Linked DNA regions of Elephas maximus indicus. The protein of the gene in region 2 interacts with the protein of the main gene of each other region in a pairwise test. Links are inferred from orthologs where the notes say so. Each region holds a gene or a part of one and is shown on either strand. Other genes may lie near its edges. The genes, in order: ATXN2, SH3GL2 and EGFL6.

Region 1 (7,598 bases), on a different chromosome or scaffold from region 2:
AGGTTCAGACCATACTGAAACCAGTTGCCACCGAGTCGACCCCAGCTCATGGTGACCCCGTGTGTGTCAGAGTACAACTGTGCTCCACGGACTTTTCAGTGGCTAATTTCTCAGCAGTAGATCTCCAGGCCTTTCTTCTGAGGCACTTCTGGGTGGACTTGAATCACCAGCTTTTCAGTTAGCAGTTGAGCTCGTTAACCGTTTGCGCCACCCAGGGACTCTGCTGATACTGAAGTGGTGGGGATTTCACAGTATGAAAACAGGAGGCAAAGGTTCATTTAGGGCCATCTTAGAGGCTGCCTACCACACCACTTTAAGGAGCAATACCCTGACCTAAGCTAAAGCTTTCTGACATCACAGTTGCTGTTAAATAACCATGTTTTCAGAGGTCTGGAATTCAGGCAAACAATTTGCAGTAAGAGAGATACCTTGGTTTTGGGTGGTGATCCTCTGTCCACAAAGAAAAAGGAGAAGGTATAAACTAGAGTTGACAGTAGAGATTCTTTTGGTTTCCATTTGAATATAAAAGCAGAAATCAAATTTTTAAATTGTGTTAAACATATATGTAACAAAACGCTGGCCATGTCAGCATTTTTTACATGTACAGTTCGTGAAATTAATCACAGTCATCTTTGTTCAACCCTTATGACTATCCATTTCCAAATTTTTCATTACCTTTAATAAAAGTTTGGTGGCCCCTAAGCAATGAGTCCCTGTGCTAGTCATCTACTGCTGCTATAACAGAAATACCACAAGTGGGTGGCTTTAACAAAGAGAAATTTATTCTCTCACAGTCTAGTAGGTTACAAGTCCAAATTCAGGATGTTAGCTCCAGGGGAAGGCTTTCTCTCTTTGTCAGCTCTGGAGGAAGGTCCTTGTCCTCAATATTCCCCTGGTAGAGTAGCTTCTCAGGTGCAGGGACCCTTGGTCCAAAGGATGTGCTCTGCTCCCAGTGTTCCTTTCTTGGTGGTATGAGGTCCCCAACTCTCTGCTTGCTTCCCTTTCCTTTTTCTCTCTCTTGAGATAAAAGGTGGTACAGGCCACACCTCAGGGAAACTCCCCTTACATTGGATCAGGGAGGTGACTTGGGTAAGGGTGGTGTTACAATCCCACCCTAATCCTTTTAACATAAAATTACAGTCACAAAATGGAGGACAACCAGAGAATACCGGGAATCATGGCCTAACCAAGTTGATAAACACATTTTGGAGGACTCATTTCAATCCATGACAGTCCCCCTTTCCTCCTCCCTCCTGCTCATTTGCCTCTAGTAACCACTAGTAAACTCTGGTCTCTCTATACACTTGCCTATTCTAGATATTTCATATAAGTGGAATCATACAATATTTATTCTTTTGTGTCTGACTTACGTCCCTCAGCATGTTTTCAAGGTTCATCCATATTGCAGACTTCATTTCTTCTTATAGCTGATTATTATTTCATTGTTTATGTATGTACCACATTTTGTTTATCCATTTATCTGTTGATGGATATTTGTTGATCCACTTTTTGGCTATTGTGAACAACGCTTAACTCAACATTGGTGCACAAGTGCCTTTTTGTGTTCCTATTTTCAATACTTTTGGGTACACCTGGGAGTGAATTATTGCTGAATTATTTGCTAATTCTTTATTTACCTCTTTGAGGAACCACCAAACTTTTTCCCACAGAAGCTGAAGCAGAATATCACATTTTGATGATAAACTCTCATATCTTCCTGGTGTTAATGCAAAGTGGTACAGCCAGTTTGGAAAATATCTTTCCAAAAAGTATCTTTAAGAAGTTAAATATAAATGTACCATAACCAAAAACCCAAGTCCATTGCCATCGAGTTGGTTCCGACTCGTAGGGACCCTATAATTTACCATGAAAAAAAAAAAACCACCCAGCAATTCCATTCCTAAAACTCTACCCAAGAGAAATGAAAACATATGTCCACACAAAGAAATATGTTCATAAATGTTCCTAGAGGCATTATTCCTAATAGCCAAAAACTAGAAGCAATCTAAATGTCCACCAGTTGGTAGATGGATAGATGTACAAAATATGGTTCATTCATGCAATGGAATACTACTCAGCAATAAAAAAAAAGAGTACTGATACATGCTGCAACAGGGCTGAACTTCAGAAACATTGTAAGTGAAAGAATCCAGAAACTAACGACTGCATACTGTTGAGATTCCATTTATATAAAATGTCCACAATAGGGACATCCATAGAAACAGAAAGTAGGTTAGTCGTCGTCTGGGCCTGGGGGTGGAGATGGAGAGTAACTGCAAATGGCTTTGAGGGATCTTTTTGGGGTGATGGAAATGCTCCGAAATCAGTGGTGATGATTGCACAGGTCTGTAAATTTACTAAAAGTAAAAAAATCAGACACTTAAAATGGGTGAATTTTATATTATGTAAATTATACCTCAAGGAAGCCATTGCAAAAATTGCACTGATAATGGATGGGAACTTGAGCTCTCTCAGCCTACATGAAATCAAGTTCAGCTATGTCAGCTTCAGGCCTTCTTATTCTACTTCCCTTTTTCTTTCCGTCTGCCAGGAGTCTGATGCTAAGATTGAATTCTGAGAACTTAGTCCCATATATTGCTGTCAAATAATTAAATCAACGAAAGTTGATTGTATCACTATTGTGGTTCTTTCTTTTTCCATCTGGTATTTTATTCTCAATTTCTTTGGGTTAATTTTTAAAGGATTTGTAACTGTTGGTTTAAAGGAATAGCTTAAATGGGGTGGGGGGGAGGGGGAGCTGACTTCCTAGTTTTCAAATGTTTGTGGAATACAAGGATCATTTTTACCTGGACTATCTAGGAGATTAATTTCATTTTGGCTATTAGAGATACCTGGCTTAATCATTCCCCCAAGTTTTTCCATATCTTTCTCTTTATCTGGACAACTCTAGGAGACAGAGGGGAATTTTGTTGCTTTTTTCCCCTGTCATTTCCTGAAATAATTTCACTTTTAAACAAACTAGATTCTTCACTGGGGGGGGGGGGGGGGAAGTCGTTATCTACTTGCTTCCAGCTTAATTGCAACATATGTAAAGAACTGACTACTGTGCTGGCTGGCGCCCTAAGTTAAAGTAAAACTTCTAAAGGGGCCAATGTCTAAAGTTCGCACATTCTTGTGAGGTCTGTTCTGTCTCCACTGAAGGAGACCCTATTATCCATAGCGCTACCAAATCACGTACATTTCCTTTTGAGTCTTATGAATGGAGGAAACGAAGTTCAAGTGAGGGGTAAAAAATGGGTTCAGACGAAGGTCAGGTACCCAAAAGAGTTTTCTGGTTACCGTGTTGCTGGAGTGGAAAAAGTGGGGAAAAGGTAACCAGATGTGGGTGGCCCCAAGAGGTTGCTCCAACCCCATTAGTTAGTCTTGGCAGGGAAAGTGAGCGCGGCCTGCCTTTGGGCCACCCAGTGCCACTTGAGGGCCTACTGTGTGCCAGGCACTGTTCGAGGTGCTTTCTACGTAGCACGACAGTCTCCGCCCTGCAGGCGCTCGCAAGCCCATTTTCTAGGTTGCATCAGGTGGGGGCCCACAGGGCTCCTCCAAGGAGTCTGAGGACGTTGGAGGAACACTCGGGAGGAGGGGGCCACTTTCCTCCTGTCCCCTGCACTAGGCCGACCCAGCAGGCGAAGACCGACACGCCCTCGCAGGAGGCCAGACCCGCCTCGAGGAGGGCGGACCCAGGCAGGGCCGGACGCCGGGCCCTCACCCGACCCTCGCAAACGCGCCCCAGCGCAGCGCCCGCTCCTCACGTGTCCCTCCCGGTCCCCGGTCGTCTCACGGAGTGCTTCCGCCCGACCCTTCCGACTTCCGGTAAAGAGTCCCCAGCTCCGCACCTCCGCGCCCACCCGGCACCGCCACCCAGTGTCTCGGCGTGCCCGGCCTCGGATGCGGTCGGCAGCCGCAACAACTCGGAGCCCCGCGGCGGCCGTCGAGCCTCGCCGTTTCGCCGCGGTCAGGTGGCCGGGGCGGTGCTCGCTCCCGCGGCCGGCGCGGCGGCGCGGGCGGGGCGGTGGCGGCGCGGCCCCGTATCCCTCCGCCGCCCCTCCTCCGCCCGGCCCCGGCCCCCCTCCCTCCGGGCAGCGCTCGCCTCCCTCCGCCTCAGACTGTTTTGGTAGCAACGGCAACGGCGGTGGCGCGGCCCGGCTCGGCTCCCGGCGGCTCATCGGTCTCAGCGGGCCTCCCCGCCCCTTCGTCGTCGTCCTCCTCCCTCTCGCCGGCCCCGGCGCCCCCCCGGCCGCGCCAGCCCGCGCCTCCTCGCTCCGCGCCCGCGCGTCCCCGCCGCGCTCCGGCGTCTCCTCGGCGCGCCCGGCTCCCGGCTGTCCCCGCCCGGCGTGCGGGCCGGTGTATGGGCCCCTCACCATGTCGCTGAAGCCCCAGCAGCAGCAGCAGACCGCGGCCGCCAATGCCCGCAAGCCCGGCGGCCTCCTCACGTCGTCCGCCGCCGCGCCGGCGCCGTCCTCGTCCTCGTCCTCAGCCACCGCGTCCTCAGCCGCTGCGTCCTCCTCGGCGGCGGCGGCGGCGGGCGGCGGGCGGCCTGGCCTGGGCAGGTGGGTGTCGGCGCCGAGCCCCCTCTGCCCGGGCCTGGACGGCCGGGCCTCGAGTCCCCTCCCCCGCGGCGCCTTTCCTCCCGTGACCGGCGGGGCCCGGGGGGTGGGCTGGGGGCCCGCGGTGGGGGCGGGGGCCTCTCGGGCTGGAGCCGAGGGGCTGGAGGCTCCCACGGGGCTTCTCGGCGATTGTCAGGCCGCGTCCAGTCTCTTGCACCATCCCCACCCCCTTCCCCAAACGGTCAAGATGGAAGGACCGGGCAGCCGCCTTCTCTCGGTTTCCACGCTCGGGGGGGTTCACAGGTCTCCGCAATTGTCAGCCCCGGTTCCGCCTTCTCTACGCCTCCCTCTCCTCGTGGGGGGGGGTGCTTGGGCAGCACCCCCACCCCTAGTTTAAATGTTGATGTTGGCGGGGTCCTGGAGCTCCCGAAACATGTCTTCTCCACCAGTGGGGAATTTCGGGGGAGGGGGGATTGGACAGCGTCCCCTCCTGTTGAAGGGCGCATCTGGGATCGCTGGGGTCTGTCCGGTCTCCCTTGACGCCCCTCTTCCCTGGCCTGGAGACGGTCGAAGGACGGGGCGGAGGGGTGGGCAGTGGCCTCCCGCCCCCTCCCCATTGAAACCTGCGATCGTGGGGCTCCGGGCCGTCCCGGGCAGCGTCCTCCGTCCCCTACCTGGGGCAGGGGTGGGACGGCCCTCCCCGCAAGGCCTCTCCTGCCGGGTGGCGGCCCAGCCGCATTGCTGTCGGAGGCCGCCGAGGAGCAGGCGCCTTTGAACAGGGTGGGCGAGGGCCGGGCCCCGCCGGGCCGCTGCGGGAAGCGGGCCGCTGCGCATTTTCTCACTACCCCCGCTTCAGTCGCCGGAATTTCGAGGGAAGAGGAATTGCCGCGGGGGCATGAAGGGCTCCTGAAGCAGAAATGCGGGTGTTTACTTGCGACCCCCGCCCCCTCCCCCTAACTCAGGCTTGTGGTGGGGGCCCGGGGGCTCGGTGTGCTTTCAGCGAACTGGCTTTGACTCTGGAGGGCGTGTTTGCGTGGGAAGGCCTGTTGGGGGTGGGGGGTGGCTGTCAGTTCGTATTTCATGAAGTAAGAAAATGCTTAGTGTTCAAACTGGGCAGCAAATGTCAATAGACTCCATTCCATTGTGGCCGGTGTCCTTAACTTGGGGAGTGCCGCCAGAGCTTACCAAGGGCACACAAGTCCATTTCCCCTGTGCCCCGGGCCCCTCCGTGGTGCAGGCACTGCCATGCCTCCCTTAGGCCTAGGCAGAACTGGCAAGGCCAGTGACCATTGTCCTCCTTAAATAGACATACTGGTCTTTCAAAGGTGGGCTAAGGGAGTTTTTCATACACTGAGTTTTCTTTTTGAAAACAAATTTTCAGCGAAATGTAAATACTCGTTTACAGCAGGCGAACTTTACCTATCCAGATGATTCAGAGCTGGTTTTTAAGGAATTCTCCCTTCAGAGGGGGGACAGTCACTTTTTTGGCTTCTCCTCCCCACAGTCCCACGGTTTCCCCTTCTCTGAAGCACCCACCAATGCTGCCTAGCCCAACAAGTTCAAATGAATGATAGTTTCTGCAGCTCTATACACTTAGCATTCTGTAACTTCAAGTTTCCCTTTTTCAGTGGCAATGATAGTGGAAAACATTTAAAAGATACAGTTTTATAGAAGAGGGTGCTTTTTTTTTTTTTCTTTTTAGGTTTTAAAGGTAGAAATATGACAGATACCTTGTTCAAATAATTAAAAATTAAAACTAAAGGTTTTAAATTGCATTTGCCCTCCCTAGGCTTAAGCATTACATTATTCAGAGTAGTTTGAATGGTCAAAGATAGCTGAAATGTTTTAGTAGTACAGATCTTTTTCTGTTCCTTAAGGCTTCATAAAAACTTAGAGTTAATTTCTTCCTTGCTTTAAATCCTTTTATTTGAGGTATAAATTGTAGCCTTTATTCTTTTTCCTAAATATGCAAAGTTTTGTTTAATGTGAAATTCACATAATGTGAAATTTTACTCTTGAGCACATCTTTAGTTAATGTACTTGTAGAGTTGCTTTTATGAATCACCTTTACTGGGTTCTTTGTAAACCAGTTACAATATCTAGAATCTCCTCACTTAACATTTGAATGCATCAGTGGTAAAATAAGTTTCTGAGCAGGGGTAAAGGCAAAGAAAAAAAGCATCATTGGGTTTGACATGGTTAAAAGGAGCAAAATATTCTTCAAAGCTTTGAAATTCATGTCTGTTTTAAATAGCATAACATATCATCAGATTTGATTTTTACTTTTTTGGTGAATAGTGGATTTTTATGGCCTTTACAAAATGATTTGTTCTGTCTTTTTCACATACTTTTGAGAAGGTGGATTTTTTTTTTTTTTAAGGAAAGAACAATGTAGCTACAATATTAAAATTGGAAAGTAATTTATTTTAACCCAATTTTTATTTTTGCCTTTTATTCTTCAGTTCTTATCAATGTATTTTTATGTTCTTGCATTGCTGATTGCATGTTATTTGTATTTAGCTTTTTTTTTCGTTAGTATTGATATGTATATATGGTTTCTACTCGTATTGTTGGCATTTGGGTTTCCGCTTTTTTGTTATTATAGATAATTGTGCAGTGAACATCTTTACACTAAAGCTTTTTTGCTTCAGTGTAGTTATTTCCTTTGAGAAAGTTCCCAGGAGTGACATTACGAGGTCAAAGGGCTTCAAGATTTTTACGGCTCTTGCTCACTGCCGAATTGCTCCTCAGAAGATTTGTATTAATTTCCAGTGCAGAGAAGGTGGATCTTCTTTAGAATGGCTTCTTTGTAGTTTGTCAAACACTGGAGGGCATTTTGAAGGGAAAAGTTGCCTTTACTGTGAAGTGCACACATTAAGTGCTTTTGTTAGTTACCTGATTGTTTACATTGGAGTTTGAGTTTGAATTTGTTTCCTCTGGGGATTTAATAATGTGTGTGATGGTGCTTGGAGAACTGTAGCTGTTAACACTAGTGAGGATACATAGTTTATCTGTTGTACTAATACTTCGACCTGG
Region 2 (8,556 bases):
ACCTCATTCGACACAGTAATGTTATATATTATTTAGAAACTGAACTGCCCTCTTAAATAACGATTCGAGAGCCACGTTTAGAAGAATACTACGGCGAATCCTTTTATGCAAATAATAACCTAATAAATTTTACTCTATAAAAGACTTACGCGTCTTAGTTTAAAGCAAGATAGCCCCACATCAAATATATGATAATTAAGTTTTAAAAAAAAAAAAGTACAAATTGCATAAGAGCAGGACATTAATTGGAACCAGACAGCTATTTTTATCTATACTTCTGGCTTAACCCAAGTGAAAAAATCAACAGTACTTTTGCTAAAATGAAATCTCAGTATGAATAAAACTCACTAAAAGTAGAGTAATATATGCTCATCTGCCCTATTTTACAGTAAAAAGATTATCTCATTCATTCTAACTGTATGGTAAATTATTTCCTTATGAGTAATTTAATAATAAAGTATGTTAAAATGAGAAGATGATCGATTTTTGCTATTTTTATTATATTCTCAAGTCTAAAGGATTTTCTCCTCTCGACTCAATGGCACTGGGGGTTTTTTCGTAATAAAGTTGCAAAAGCATCTTTTCACCTCTAAAGAGTAGAGATACGGAAAATTATTGTCGGTAACAAGGTAGAAACAACCAGTTTTAATGAAAAAGAACAGGTGTGATGTGCCAATCAGAAATCTCAAGTCAGTGGTTCAAACACTGAAGACAGGCTGCTCTACTAATACAAGTATCTCCCCTAAATAAACAAAAAACTCAATTCAGTGGAAACTGGAGAGATGGCTGCCTAAAGAGGACATATACATATAGGCTAGAATCTAGCACGTCCACTGTTTTGTAAAATAAAACAAAGACAGTTCTCACGAAGAAACAGTGCCAGGTCTAACGCTTCATTCGTAAATAAGATCAGGCTCATGAAGCTGTATGGGAAAACGGCTCCAAAAGTAGGGCATGACCATTTCCCCTATTATCTTTGTCGCATGCAAACAGTAGCACTGACTTTACATATCAAAATATACATATGTACACAGGAAGAGTAATCTTTGTCTGGGGCTTTCTATGGTTGGGCTACACCAACTTAAGGATATAAGTCAACGTGTTGCTTCACCTTTAAAATGTAAGGTTTTCCAATAAAAAGAAGAAAATAATGCAGTAAGCCTGCATATTGAGTCAGTGCGATAAATAGTAATCTGATTTTAGCACAAATAGACCTCCTCCAACCGTCTAAGAAGTTCTTCTGTATCGCAACTCAATTTTTTATTCTGAATCTTATAGCTACATATAGCCGCAGGACTTGGCAGAAATGAAATCGATTATTGTTAGGTTCGCAAAGCTAAACATTCGAGTTTCTGTTATTTCCTCGTGTCTCGTTATTACTAGTATATAAGGTAGTATTTATACTAGGAAAATTATTAAGATTAATAGCTATCACTTACTGAACACTTTTTATCGTGTATTACAAACTCCTTTATTCCCGCATCAACCTGAGAAAATCGGTATCATTTTCACTTTAGCAAAGACAGATTTGGAAGTCAGATAACTCACTCAAAGTCAAAGACAGTAAAGGTGGGTTCAAATCCTGGCCTTTTCCACTCTGCAGCCAAGACTCTTAGTTGCCTTTTAGGGCACCAAGCTTTACAGAGGAAATCTCCAAAATTGAAGCAAAAAAAAAGGACATGGTATTGGTAAATGTCAAGCTGAGGTCTGCTTTAGGGAAGTGACAAGTGCCTGGGCCAAGACAGGTTAGTTACTTCAGAGATGCTCTGCTCTGCCTGGGGATGTATGGGCAACATATGCTGGATCCGTAAACCTGGAAGAACCTGAAGTACAAAGGTGCAAGGGGCCCCCCAACTACAACAATGCACTTATATTTACAAGCCTTTCAGGCAGAGGTCACAGGAAGCTTCAATCTGAAAAGCAAAAATAATTACATGAATGGGCATTTTTACCAAAACAGTTCTAGTTTTCCCCAGTTCCCAAACTGACCAATATAACTGATTCTATAAAGTCAAGTCTACAGTGATCAGAGATGGCGCACGTGCACACACACACACTCGTGTGCAGTGAATTTCATGCATCTGTCATCCTAATTTAACTAAGATTCTGCAAAATTCATTCCTTCTGGATGTGGTTTGTAATAGGTTTGCTATTGTGGTAGCCTGGGAAAAACCTCATTACATTTGAAAACTTATGAGAAAAGCTCAATATTAATTAAGGCTAATCTATAAAAAGAATATTTAAGGCTAAACTATTCAAAGGTAAATCCACAAAGCTCTTAACTAAAGATCCGTTAGATTAGAACCTGTTTCAGAGTTATTTTTAAGAAGAAAAAAAAGCATACACATTATATAAGAAATAGGTCACACCGAAAGCATTCACTTATTGTTCTTCAATTTAGCCCAATGAGGTTTAAATTATTAGAACAAGGATTAAATAAGTTTTATTATAATCACAGACTAGTAACCCCATAAAGTTGGTATATCCAAGGTATAAAAGGCACGCTAAATACTTCGAAACACATGATAATTTTCAGTTTTCAACAATTTGACTCTATCAAGACACCAAAACCCACAGGAAATTGTCAAAGGCACGCAGATAGCTTGCTGGTCAATCCCTGGGGTCGAAGGAGTTAGACGACTGAGTTCTCCAGCGAAAAGTTCAGGCAGGCGCTTCCCTGAAGGACCCCCCTGTCATTCCCTCCCATTCCTCTGAGCCGGAGGACGCTGTGGAAGGAGGGAAGGAGGGAACCACCGAGGAGGAGCGCAGATGGCAGGCATCTCCGCAGCCACCCCCCGTGCGGGCCACCGCTCCTGCCACCACATCCCGGGACGGCTGGGCACTCCGACGCCTCAAGGTCACCAGAGAGGAGGCGACTTTACATAATCTCCCACCGCGCCGCCCAGCACTTGCGCGGTGCAGCCGCGGTCCCCTCCCTGCCAGCCTGCCCGCGCGTGGCAGTGCGCTGGCGGCGCGCGGGGTGACGAGGCGGGATGCCGGGGACCCAACGGGTGCCTGCGGAGTCGCCCCGAGCAGGGGGCGGAAAAGCGCGCTACCTGCCCAGGGATGCCCGGGGCCGCCGCTGCGGTGGCCGGGGCAGGCGATGCGGGGTGCAGCCGGGGCGCGCTGGGCGCCGGGCCGGGGACCGTAAAATCTCCCCGAAACCGCCCCGCTACACACCTGTCACGCGCCTCACCTGAGTGGCTTTGTGGAACTGCTTCTTGAGCCCGGCCACCGACATGGTGCAGGAGGGCGCGCAGACGCGGGCCGCGGCGGCTGCGGACAGGAGGCGGCGGCGGCGGCGCGGGCAGGAGGGCCGAGCCGGGCGGCGCGTTCGCCGGGCCGCCGCTCGTCGTGCCGCGGCCGGGGCTGTGGGCACGGGGGCGCAGAGCCGGCGCGGGACCCGGGCTCGTGCGGAGAGATACCCTGACGTCAGGGCGGGTGATGCCGCCTCTTAAAGGGGACGCGGGAAGCCCCGCCCCGGCGCGGGCCGGCCGGCAGGTGCCGTGCGCTCAGCACCTGGGCGCCGGCCCCACCGCGGGCTCGGACGCTGGCGCGGCGACTGGCTCCCGGATCGGAGACCGAGGGCTCTGTTTCTCCGCCCCAGGGGCGCTGTCCGTGCCCCTGCGGATGCGGAGCGGTCGCTGCAGCTGAGCAGCCCGGGGACTGGCACGACTCAGGTGACTACTCGGCTTGCAGGTAGCCGCAGCGGCGCTGCCAGCCGCCTGCCTGCCTGCCCTTTGACCCGGCTCTCCGCAGCCTGAAAAGGAGGAGTGGTGTTCTCTCTGGGGTGATAAGTCATTGCTCCTTCTCTGTTTTGCCGGCGCTGGGTTGGTCACAGAAAATATATCTCTGTCCTGGTTTCAATAAGCCTATACAAACGTTAGGAGAGTCACCAACACCCCTTTCTGATCTGATACAATTTAATAACTTAAAAATTTTAAAACAAACAAACTTAACCCTTTGGCGGCCCAATCATTTTCTGCTTTGAGTTTTTTTGTTGATACCATGTGTTTTCCTTAGTGAAAATATGCTGAATCATTGAGTGTGTCTGAATTTTTGGCAGGTAGTATGGATTTTTCTTTCTTGGCACCTCCCACAAGCCTACCCTGTGTCCCTTGGTACATGCAATATACCATTAATTTTTCTCCGGGGTCCCCACCGGGGTCTACTGGTACATATGTGTAATGAATTAAATTTTTCAAAATTTCTTATTTTCTGCCAAAAATTCAGACACCTCATACAACACCCTGTAAAAATAGTAATCTGCGGCACACGCCCATTTCTTCCGTTTCAAACAGTCATAAAGGCTCCTGGTTTTCACAGGACACAGTATCAGTGGTACAGCAGCTTCTCAGTAAGCCCCCGAGGCTGAGAAAGTTCGCGTTCGCCATATGCACCACCCAGCATAAAAGGGTACAGGCTGGTCAGGTGAAAAGAACCGAATGAGACATTATTACGGTAACCACATTTAATTCTCTGTGTACAGAAATGAAAAAGCCTGAATATGAACTTGACGCTTGGGCAATAGTGGTAGTGGATTTAGGATTTTCAGTCTCCAGTAATGTGAAAAAGCACGATATTAAATTGTGCAAATACTAGATATGTAACAAAGTCTGTATGGCTGGGTCAGAGCAAAGCTCTGATGGAATTAGAATTGGGAGTGGAACCTCACTAGGTATCTTCACTGTTCTGGTAATTAGCCACTTCCTCTGGTTTTTCTAGGACTGAGTAGCACATGGAAAAAATTTGAACTGCGTCTTCCCTTGGAGTTCAAATATATACCAAGGACAAGGCAGAGGGACAGAAGGCAGAAAAAGGGGCCCTTGAAAAAAATTGCCAAGGTGAATAAAGAGGCAATATAGTAGAATGAGCATTCTAGAAATGGTAGTAACTGCCACCACAGCCCCTGCTGCTTTGTACAAACCACACACACACACACACACACAGCCACAGCTGCTTGGGCAGGGGTGGGCATCCGATACAAGGCGATCCTACGCATCACCAAGGCTACCAATCATAGCGCTTCTTGATGATTTGAACTGAAACACATAGAGGCAGAGTCAAGCAGATAGTGGTGCATGTGGGCTTGTGTCCCAGTCTGCAGAAAGAAGCAGAAGATAGAGGAGATCTCCAGCGTGGGAGCGTTACTGAAGTTCATGTGCCTTCCAGGTACATGGCAGGATTGCACTTTTCAAACCCCTTGTGGCTAGGCGGGGCACTGTGACAAGTTTTAATTAGTGGATTGGGAGGGAAAATGACTGCCATTTCTTGGCAGAGAATTTAAGTAGTAGTTGCTCTGGGTAGATGGATTGACCATACCCTGGCCACTTACCCAGCATTTTCATTGTCAGCTAGAGAGGTGGATAGTAAGCTCTTGCCATCCATGGGGAATCCTAAAGGAATGTGAGGGCAAGGGACAACCTGTGTCCCTTAGAAACACCAAAGATGAAGGTGTTGTCCATAGACAGGTGGGGCTTCTGATCCACAGAGTTGAGGACAAACCACTGAAGTGACCTTATTGAGGGTCCAAGAGGTGATATGCCTTTAAGACATTAAAAAAAAAAAAAAATTGCCATTGAGACAATTCTGACTCATAGCGACCCTAGAGGACAGAGAAGACCTGCCCTGTAGAGTTTCTAAGGCTTAAAAAAAAAAAAAAAAAAAAATTTTTTTTTTTAAATCTTTGTGGAAGCCAACTGCCACATCTTTCTTCTGTGGAGTGGCTAGGAGGTTGAAACAACCGACCTTTTAGTTAGCAGCCGAGCCCTTTAACCACTGCACCACCAGGGCTCCTTAGGGGACATTTACTCACATATAAAGAGACCCACCTTGGTGATTTCTAACTTTTCGATATTAAGCTCTGAAAGGGTTTGGACTTACTGCACAAGTAGGTGGGGCTAGAGATTTGAGGGTAAGTGCTATGATGACTGCCTTTGTAGCCTAACAGGTTGGTGAAATCTGCATACACTTAAACACACACATAAGAAGACTACCCTAAAATACCAAAATGCTAATAACGGTTGTGCTACTAGAGCAGTGGAGTTCCTGGCTGTTGCCGTGAACACACTCAGCTGCTAACCAAAACGTTGGAGATTCATGTCCAGCCAGAGGCACCTCAGAAGACAGGCTCAGTGATCTACTTCCAAAAAATCAAACATTAAAACAGTAAGGAGCACAATTCTACTCTGATACGCATGGGGTCGCCATGAGTCAGAATCAACTAGGTGGCAACTGGTTTTTGTTTTGTTAAGCAATAGTTCTCAAACTTCACCTGGAAGGCTTGTTAAAGCACAGCCTGCTGACTCCATCCTTAAAGATTTCGATTAATTCAGTAGGTCTGGGATGAGGCCCAATAATTAACTTTTCTAACAAGTTCCTGGAAGCCCTGGTGGCATTGTGGTTAGAGCTACAGCTGCCTAACTGTAAATCGTCGGCAGTTCGAATCCACTAGGTGCTCCTTGGAAACCTTACAGGGCAGTTCTCCTCTGTCTTATAGGGTCGCGATGAGTCAAAATTGACTCGACAGCAATGGGTTTTTACAGGTAACAAGTTCCCAGGTGATGCTGAGACCACACTTTGAGAACCACTGGGCTGGAGTACAGATATGATTTAGGAGAGGATCCCCCGCCCCCCGCCCGCCGTTTAAAATGTTTTCCCGTTACTTGTATAATAGAAAAAGTATTTCATGGTTAATTTTTTTTTTGCCTGTTCCCTGCTCTAAGCAATGGAACATTTTCACAGGGTTGGCATTTTGGGGGAGTTGCCAAGACTTAGAACAATTAAACTACAAATTAGAGGGGTCTGAGATTCATGAGTCCTGGTCTCCAACCCTGAAAGGTGAGATGGGAACCTGAAGAGTCCCCTCAGAACTGTGGAAACTGTACTGAAATCTAAATTAAACAAAAGCAAGTCTCTGTCTTTCCCTGTTTCTTCATCCACAAGCTTAGAAGGTTTACTCTGTTTTACTTCAATGGAGCTACCCCAGGAGAAAGAACTAATTAAGGACTTTTGAAACCATGGTTAAGCTCTTCCAGATATGGCCTGGACCTCATCTAAACACAGTATTTGTCACTGAGGCCACAATGTATGCTTAAAAAGACCTTTGAAATGTTTCCTATGAAAGAGATTATTGAGCTTCTCCTACTAGCAGCCATCACAGTAGGTGTTCGGAGATGGTAGAGAGAGACACCAAAACATGTATGGAGTGGGCCTTGAACCGCAGGGGACTTGCAGGTCAATAATTAGGAAAACCCTTCTTATAGACATTTGTTGTGACCTGAATACAGAGAATGCACCAGACACTGAAAAATTCCAAACAAGTCTTTCTTTGCTTGCAAAGAGGCTGTAACAGGTTCTGCTGAGAAATCAAGCACAGGACAGGGGAAGGGAAAGCAAAGGTCAATGAGGAAGAACTTTGTCTGCTAAAGGTTGTTGTAATCAACAAGCTGCCCTATAGTCTCCCCAGGTAAAGTCAATGGAAAATGGTAAATAAATCTAGATTCCCTCAGGAAAGTCCCCATTCAATGAAACTTCTTCTCAGTACCACCTCACTAATTGGGCAGTGAGTTCACAGCCAGCAGTAATTCCTCACATCATTCGTGCACTGCTTCTCCTTGTGTTATGTTTTTTTGTTTTTTTTTTTTTTTTGCCAAAGCTTCTGGCAAATACTAGACCTCTCATTTGCACAGAGCTGCTGCAACCCCATGCCTTTCAGGGGACCCAGAGTTCCAGAGTTCCTTCGGTCCCTGTCACTGCTGCTCTGGCCTACAGGGCAAACCACTCCTGACTTCAGGTCAAGGATAAGAAAGATAGGAAATCCAGGGCATTAAATCCAAACTTGTTATTTTACATATGAGAAAACAGAGGCTATGAAAGGAGGAGGCTTAACCATGGTTTCTTTTCTACTGCAGCCTCCAACCTCAATTCAGGGCAGAGCCTCCAATCAGTGTTAATAATCATAGATTGAAAGGAATGAATTTTTAATGAATGAACAAACAACATGTCACTGTCATGGATGCCATATTCCTACCACATTGGGTTTGATGTTAGCCCAGTAATGGATTCTGGAGACTGTTGTTCTGGGGTGAGCAGCCCTTAATATAAGATTTAGTGCCTTTGAATGCTGTCAGTAGTATTGGGCCCCCAGCTAGCATGGGCAGGGCCAAGGAGCCCTTTCCTAAAGATGGAAAATCAAGGCAAAGACCACCTTCATGGTCTTTCCTCCGGATTTGTCACCTACACCCCACTCTCCAGCAACTGCACTGACATAAGCACACTTTTTTTTTTGTCTTTTGGAGGTGGAATGTGTGGGTCTTTCTCTCAGGGGTGCCCTTTCTTCACATTTCCTTACATAGCTCTCCTCCCTCCACGGCACAGGGGATTCTCCCTGCACAAACTTCCTCTTTGCTCAGCTAAACCCTATTAACTAATCACAGGAGGAAGCGTTAACAAAGTGAGTGACCCATGTTAGACTCTTCATCTGGGCCCATATTCCTAGTTTCATCCCCTTTTGAAATGCTTCCAACTTCTCTAGCAAAACTCTACAACCTACTG
Region 3 (7,761 bases), on a different chromosome or scaffold from region 2:
ACTTTGCAGATGTGATCATGTTAAGGGTACTGAGATGGGGAGATTATCCTGGTAGGTCTGGTGTAATCACCAGTGACCTTGTAAGAGGGACACAGGAGGAGGCTGAGCCAGGGAGAAGGCATTGTGACAAGGGAGGAAGAGACTGGAGTGATGCAGCCATAAGCCAATGATTACAGGCAGCCTCTAGAAGCTGTAACAGATAAGGAACAGATTCTCCCCTGGAGCCTCCAGAAGGAGCCAGCCCTGCCAACACCTTGATTTTAGTCCCATAAGACTTATTTTAGGGAGCCCTGGTTTTTTTTGGTGGTGCAATGGTTAAGTGCTGGTAGTTGGTTGGTAGTTCGAACTCACCCAGTGGCTCCATGGGAGAAAAGACCTGGTGATCTGTTCCATAAAGATTACAACTTTGGAAACCCTGTGAGACTATTCTACCCTGTCCTTTAGGGTCACTATGAGTCAGAATTGACTGCAAGGCAGGCAGCAACAACAAGACTTATTTTAGACTTTTGACCTCCATAACTGCAAGAGAATAACTTTGTGTTTTTTTAAGCCACTATGTTTGTGGTAATTTGTTACAGCAGCAACAGGAAATGAATACATTGCCTTAAAATGGGGCTCTGAGAAGAATCAATTCCTAACATAGCATGTGGTTTGCAGTCAGCAGGCCCCTCTCCATGAATGCAGAGCCACCATGTACCTAGTCATTCCCTCACCTGTCATGTGATTTTTACTTGAATTCAATAGAGAAAAAAAATGTAGAATAGGAATCTGTTAGAAGTAGGGACTTCCTCCAATTTTGATTCTCAAGGATAGCAAAGTTAATATATTTATCTTACGTGCTCAAGGCAAAAAAATCCTTAAGAAACCTGCATGTCAGAACCTGGAACACACAAGATGGAGTTCGGACAAATAGTCTAGACCAGTGCTGTCTATATTTATAGAAATATAATAGCCACATATGGCATTTGAAATTTTCTAGTAGAGCAACTGTTTCTAATCACATTAAAAAAAATTTTTAAAAGGTGATGTTAATTTTAAGAATATGTTTTATCTAGTGCGCTGTATGGAGCCCTGGTGGTACGGTGGTTAAGAAGTAGATGGCCAGCCAGTGTCACAAAACAATGTGTGTATTGTTTAACGAGAAACTTGTTTGCTCTGTAAACCTTCGTCTAAAGTACAATACAAAAAAAAAAGAGGGAGAGGAAAAAAAGTAGTAGATGGCCAGGCCTTTCTTCCAAAGTGCCTCTGGGTAGACTAGAACCTGCAACCCTTCGGTTTGCAGTCGAGTGTGTTAACCGTTTGCACCACCCAGGGACTCCATTGGACTCTTTGTAAACTATCGGTTAGTAGTCGAGCACTTTACCGTTTGTGCCACCCAGGGACTCTAGTGCATACATTCCAAAAATCAAAAACCAAACCTGTTGCCACTGAGTTGATTACAACTCATAGGGACCCTATAGGACGGAGTAGAACTGCCTCATAGGGTTTCCAAGGAGCACCTGGTGGATTTGAACTGCTGACCTTTTCATTAGCAGCCATAGCTCTTAACCACACTATGTCACCAGGGTGCATACATTAGACATCTCTATATAGTAGCCACAGTTTTTAGGATAAATTGTGAAACCCCAGGAAATACCCAGGTGGCACACATCTCTGCAGGGTGTGTTGCCTTCTCTGTAACTGTGTTGGCGTGGCTTGGAGTCTGGAGTTGATTACCTGTGGTTCCCGCGCAGTTCCTGAAGAGTGGACCACTTAACAGTTGGGAGCATGCTGGAGCAGATAATACCCACACCAGCTCAGGAACCTGATACTGTGCAAGGAAACCACTTCTTACATCTTGAAAACTGCAGAATTGGAAAATCCTGACACGGATCCTCCAGTTTAATATTCTTTGGTTGATTCAGGAGCTTTTCGGCTTTTATTTTAATTTGGTGGCACTTTGAAAGTGGAGCTCTGGAGGTCTGTTTGCTGACTGCTAAAGAACTATTAATCCTGTCTCCAAATAGCACTTGGTCTGTCTTAAGTGGACTTTCTAGCAATACAAGAACTTCCAACGTGCAAGGAAACTGTGATTATGAGCAAATTGCATCTGCTCACGTTTTTATCATGAAAAGGAAATTGAAACTTGATGAATCCTACATTCTCAGAACCTGGTTTGTTGTTTGAACTTCAGAATCCCTTAATACCTTGGCTGACTCTGATGAAAGATATTTTCCTGTAAGTCAAGCAAAGAGAGTCCAGCTCCCCTTTAGGAAGCTCTCATCTTGCTCTGCCTGGGAATCATAAACTAAAGGTCTCTCTAGCTCAAGGGTTCTCACCTGGGGGTGATTCTGCCCTCCCCAGGGGACACTGGGCAATGTTCACAGACATTTTGGGTTGTCACAATTTGGAGGATGGGTGCTACTGGCATCTAGTTGGTAGAGACCAGGGATGCTCGTGAACATCCTTCAGTGCACAGGACAGCCCCAAGCCCAACAAATTATCTAGCTCCAAAGGTCAATAGTGCCTGGTGCTGACCCAGTAGACATCTAAGTAGCAAAAAGTCATAGGAACCAGAGAAGCAGGAAGCCTTCTCCAGCTGAGGTTTCTCAAGAGGTCACCCTAGTGTACTGGTTAAGAGCAAGAACTCTGGGCCAGACTGCCTGAATTTGAATTCCAGTTCCATCACATACTGGCTGTGCCACCTCGGGCAAATTACTCAACCTCTTTGTGCCTTGTTTCTCTACTAGTACTTCCCCCTCGGGGTTGTTAGGAAGTATAAATGGTTTAATATTCTCAAAGTGCTTACAACAATGCAAGGCCCACAGTGAGCACTGTGTAAAAACACATAAGTGGGTGTTTATTAAGGGGTTTCGGAAAATAAGTTCCTGGAAAAGTCAGTTTCAGGGCTTAGAAAAGTAAGGAAATGGCTTCAGATTCTGAATTGCTATATCAAGAAGAGCGAGGGGATTTCATATGACGACCCCGTTTTCTCTTACCAGTTCATCAACCCTCAAAAAGGCAGCGAGCGGAGGAGTCCGCCCGCAACAGGTCCTGTGAGCGGGAACCCAGCCCAAGCTCACTCTCTAGCCCCTCAGTTTCTTTCCCTTCTTCCACGGCAAAAGCAGAGACGGACAACCAGTTGGAACCCTCCGTACAGAGTGGAGAATACATAACTGCACACACGAGACCTTCGGCCCCCCCCCCGCCTCCCACGCACACATTCACGCATATTCACACACCCGCCCCTACCTACAGTCGATGTCTGCAGACCACCAAACCCACACCCGCCCAGAGGTCTGCGCTCACAGCGCCCGGCCTCCCTCCAGTAACCTGCTGGACGCAGCCAGGTGGGGCGCAGCTGATGCAAAGGGCACTGGGTGCAAAGATTAGCCAAAGGGGCGCTGGAGGAAAGTCCGGGTGCGCTCCGGCCTCGCAGCATTGCGAGAAATCCAGTCTCAGAGTGCACAGACACACGCATGCACACACACCCACACACGCGTGGGGATGCCTGGAGGAACCCGGGACAAAGAGAAGGGGCCGATCGCAAGCCAGCCACTCACCTGGCTGCACTCCCTAATCCACCTGCCACCCAGGGGAGCAGCAGCAGGAGCGCGAGCCCCCAGGGTGGTCGCATCTTGGCGCGGGGCCTCCCTCCTTTGCTGCGGTCAACTGCTCCTCCCCCTGCACCCCCTCAGGAGGGTGCCCGGACGCGGGATGCGGGCGCAGCGGGACTACCGCCTGCTCGCTCTGCGGCCGATCAGGGCTGCGCTCCTCCCGCAGCTCCCGGGTCGGGCGCTCCGGCGAGGCGCGCGCGTCTCAGGAGAGGCTGGGACGTCGGGGAAGGCGCGCTTGGGCTCCTCTGAGAAGCGGACCCGGGCGAGCCAGCCAGGGAGGGCGGGCCATGCACATCTGGCTGGGACCCGCCTCCAGCAGGACCCGCGCATCCTCTGCGCTTTGTTCAACAGGAACATTCCCCAGATGCAGTTCAGTCCCCTCTGTCGGAGTCACCAAGAACCATTATCCATTTCAGGCCCCGGAATTGGTTTCAGTGGTACCTGCGTGCTCTCCAGGATCTAAGAATTTAGTTGAGAAGTCAACGTGGGAACCGGGGATGCAGGTTCCTAGTGAGACTGCTACCTTCTGTTTAAGTTTTTAATATTCTGCTAGGTTTTCTTACAACCTTCAAATCCTAGCGTGCTTAGAGCAGGAAGGTCACCAAGCCCTTGGGCAACCCCTTCATTTGACAAATGCTCTCTCCGTGCTCATTTGCAACAGCTTATTTACATGGGACTGCAAGATGAAATTGTCAGGTATAATTGAACAGTGCAGGAACTGATGGCCGAAACACAAATGCTACAGAATTCAGAGAATTCATTCGGGTACCTACGTGTTTTTTGTTCTGACAATCCTATTTATTCTGGAGGAATGAATGATTGGTCCCTCCTTCACCCTCTCCCAGCAAACACCCCTTTGTAGCTTCATGGTGGAGTGTATGGCCCTGCCTCTTGACTTTGGATTTGGCTGTGTAACTTACCCATGGTGTGTGGGCAGAAGCTGGAATGGGCCAGTTTCAAGCATAGACTTTAGACACCTGTGCCTCTGTCATAGACATGAGAAGAACATGTCCCAGCTAGCGAGTGGTGGTCCAAGGCGGATGAGGGACAGGTGCCACAGATATACCTGGTCGACTTGCAGACCTATGGTTTGAAGCAGAGCCACTCAGTCAAGCCTAGTGTATATTAGCCAACCTAAAGACACATGAGTGAGCTTAGCTCAGATCTGCAGAGCCAGCCACTAAAGCTTGTAGTGATTGTTTGCTACTCAGCAATAGCTAGTTGACACACCTATGAACTAGTGTCAGAAATAAAATGATGAAGATAATATGGAGAAAGAGGAGGTTTGCCTTGATGATAAGCTTGATTCCTGGTTATATAATGGGCATATGTGTTAATTCTAGCAATGAAATGTGAGAAGAAGTGAGGGTGGGGGAGATACTTCTACAGATTCTTGCAGTGGGCTGTAATGGATGTCATTATGTAAGCCAATTTTAGTTGGATCTTCTGTTTTACAGTTGAAAGCGTCCTAATGGATTCAATATCCTTGGTCAATAATGACTTAGACCACTGAGCTGTTCATAGCTAATAGTGACAAGCATTACTCTAAATACTTTACTGATATTATCTTATTGAATACCCCACAACTCTTGTGAAGTAAACCAGCTGCCACTGAGTCAACTCCAACTAATGACAACCAACTCCCTGGGTAGTACAAATAGTTGAAACACTCAGCTGCTAACTGAAAGGATGGGGGTTGGAGTCTACCCAGAGGTGCCTCAGAAGAAAGGCCTGATGAATTTCTTCCCCAAAATCAGCCATTGAAAACCCTGTGAAGCACAGTTCTACTCTGAAGGAGAAGGGGGTCAGCAACTCAGGGCTTCTCTGTCCATTGAGCTCCGTTGCTGCTATTTAAATCCTCTTTCTCATCTTCTAAGGAGTGGCACAGCGGTTAAGAGCTCGGCTGCTAACTGAAAGGTTGGTGGTTTGAACCCACTAGCTGCTCCTTGAAAGAAAGATATGGCAGTCTACTTCTGTAAAAAAAAAAAAAAAAAGACTAGTTGCCATTGAGTCGATTCAACTCATAGCAACCCTATGATTACAGCCTTGGAAACCCAATGGGCCAGTTCTGTCTGTCCTATAGGGTCCTTATGAGTCAGAATTGATTTGACAGCAACAGGTTTGGTTTTCTTTTCTTCTTACCCCTGAGGAGTATTTTAGGCTAGGGTTTCTAGAGGAGTAAAACCAGTGAAGCATATTTTGTTGTTGGTAGGTGCTATGGAGCCAGTTCCGACGCATAGGGACCCCATGTACGACAAAACAAAACACTGCCCGTTCCTGTGCCAAACTCACAACAGTTGTCATGCTTGACCCCATTGTTGCAGCCACTGTGTCAATCCATCCTCTCATTGAGGGTCTTTTTCTCTTTCGCTGACCCTCTACCTTACCAAGCATTATGTCCTTCTCCAGGGACTGATCCCTCCTGATAAGATGTCCAAAGTATGTGAGATGAAGTTTTGCTTCCAAGCAGCGCTCTGGCTGTACTTCTCCCAAGAAAGACCTGTTTGTTCTTCTGGCAGTCCATGGTATATTCAATATTCTTTGTCAGCACCATAATTCAAAGGCGTCAGTTCTTCTTTGCTCTTCCTTATTCATTGCCCAGCTTTCACATGCATATGAGGTGATCAAAAACACCATGGCTTGGGTCAGGCTCACCTTAGTCTTCAAGGTGACATCTTTGTTTTTCAACACTTTAAAAAGATCTTTTGCAGCAAATTTGCCTAATGAAATTCTTAACCGCTGCTTCCATGGGTGTTGATTATGGATCCAAGTAAAATGAAATCCTTGACAACCTCAATCTTTTCTCCGTTTATCATGATGTTGCTTATTGGTGCAGCTGTGAGGATTTTTGTTTTCTTTATGTTGAGTGTAATCTATACTGAAGGCTGTGGCCTTTGATCGTCATCAGTAAGTGCTTCAAGTCCTCTTCACTTTGAGTAAACAAGGTTGTGTCATCTGCATAACGCAGAGCTTCTCGGATTATTTGCTCAGCATACAGATTGAACAGGTATCATGAAAAGATACAACCCTGATGCATACCTTTCCTGGCTTTAAACCCTGCAGCAGTTTAAAGTATTTATATACGTGAAGCGTGTGTATGTATATATACACACACATACATAAATTATATATATATATGTACATTTTATACACACACACACACACATATATGTACACATAGGGAGTCCTGGTCACACAGCGGTTAAGAGCTCAGGCTGCTAACCAAAAGGTTGGCAGTTCGAATCCACCAGTCGCTCATTGGAAACCCTGTGGAGCAGTTATACTCTGTCCTATAGGGACGCTATGAGTTGGAATTGACTCAACAGCAATGGGACAGGATATATATATATATGCGTGTGTGTGTGTGTATATACACACACATATATATGTGTGAAACCTTTGTGGCGTAGCAGGTAAGAGCTACAGCTGCTAGTCAAAAGGTTGATAGTTCTAATTGACCAGCTGCTCCTTGGAAACTCTATGGGGGCAGTTCTACTCTGTCCTATAGAGTTGCTATGAGTTGAAATTGACTTGGTGGCAATGGGTTTGGTTTGTTTTATATATATATCCTTTTACTATACCTATTCAGCCTATGTGCTGAGCAAATAATCTGAGAAGCTGGACTATATGAAGAAGAATGGGACATCAGGATTGAAGGAAGAGTCATTAACAGCCTGCGTCATGCAGATGATACAACCTTGCTTGCTGAAAGTGAAGAGGACTTGAAGCACTTACTGATGAAGATCAAATACTACAGCCTTCAGTATGGATTACACCTCAACATAAGAAAACAAAAATCTTCACGATTGGATCAGTAAGCAACATCATGATAAACGGAGAAAAGATTGAGGTTGTCAAGGATCAACACCCATGGAAGTAGCAGTCAAGAAATCAAATGACGCATTGCATTGGGCACGTCTGCTGCAAAAGACCTCTTTAAAGTGTTAAAAAGCAAAGATTTCACCTTGAAGACTAAGTAAGGTACATCTGACCCAAGCCATGGTGTTTTCAGTTGCCTCATATGCATGTGAAAGCTGGACAATGAATAAGGAAGACCGAAGAAGAATTTATGCTTTTGAATTGTGGTGTTGGCAAAGAATATTGAATATACCATGGAGTGCCAAAAGAATGAACAAATCTGTCTTGGAAGAAGTACAACTGGAAT

The links.
Region 1: the proteins of SH3GL2 (region 2) and ATXN2 interact in binary tests that used the Homo sapiens proteins (3 or more experiments, as listed by UniProt). The link is inferred for Elephas maximus indicus from reciprocal best matches to the Homo sapiens genes SH3GL2 and ATXN2.
Region 3: the proteins of SH3GL2 (region 2) and EGFL6 interact in a two-hybrid assay, tested with the Homo sapiens proteins (2 studies listed by BioGRID and IntAct). The link is inferred for Elephas maximus indicus from reciprocal best matches to the Homo sapiens genes SH3GL2 and EGFL6.

Annotation. Positions count from the first base shown.
Region 1 is NC_064840.1:9,932,366-9,939,963, reverse strand, and holds the start of ATXN2 (ataxin-2), read left to right. Parts: upstream 1-4,291; 5' UTR 4,292-4,377; coding exon 4,378-4,565; intron 4,566-7,598. UniProt on the Homo sapiens protein: Involved in EGFR trafficking, acting as negative regulator of endocytic EGFR internalization at the plasma membrane.
Region 2 is NC_064827.1:27,493,777-27,502,332, reverse strand, and holds the start of SH3GL2 (endophilin-A1), read right to left. Parts: upstream 3,335-8,556; 5' UTR 3,242-3,334; coding exon 3,197-3,241; intron 1-3,196. UniProt on the Homo sapiens protein: Implicated in synaptic vesicle endocytosis. May recruit other proteins to membranes with high curvature. Required for BDNF-dependent dendrite outgrowth.
Region 3 is NC_064846.1:166,091,027-166,098,787, forward strand, and holds the start of EGFL6 (epidermal growth factor-like protein 6), read right to left. Parts: upstream 3,617-7,761; coding exon 3,543-3,616; intron 1-3,542.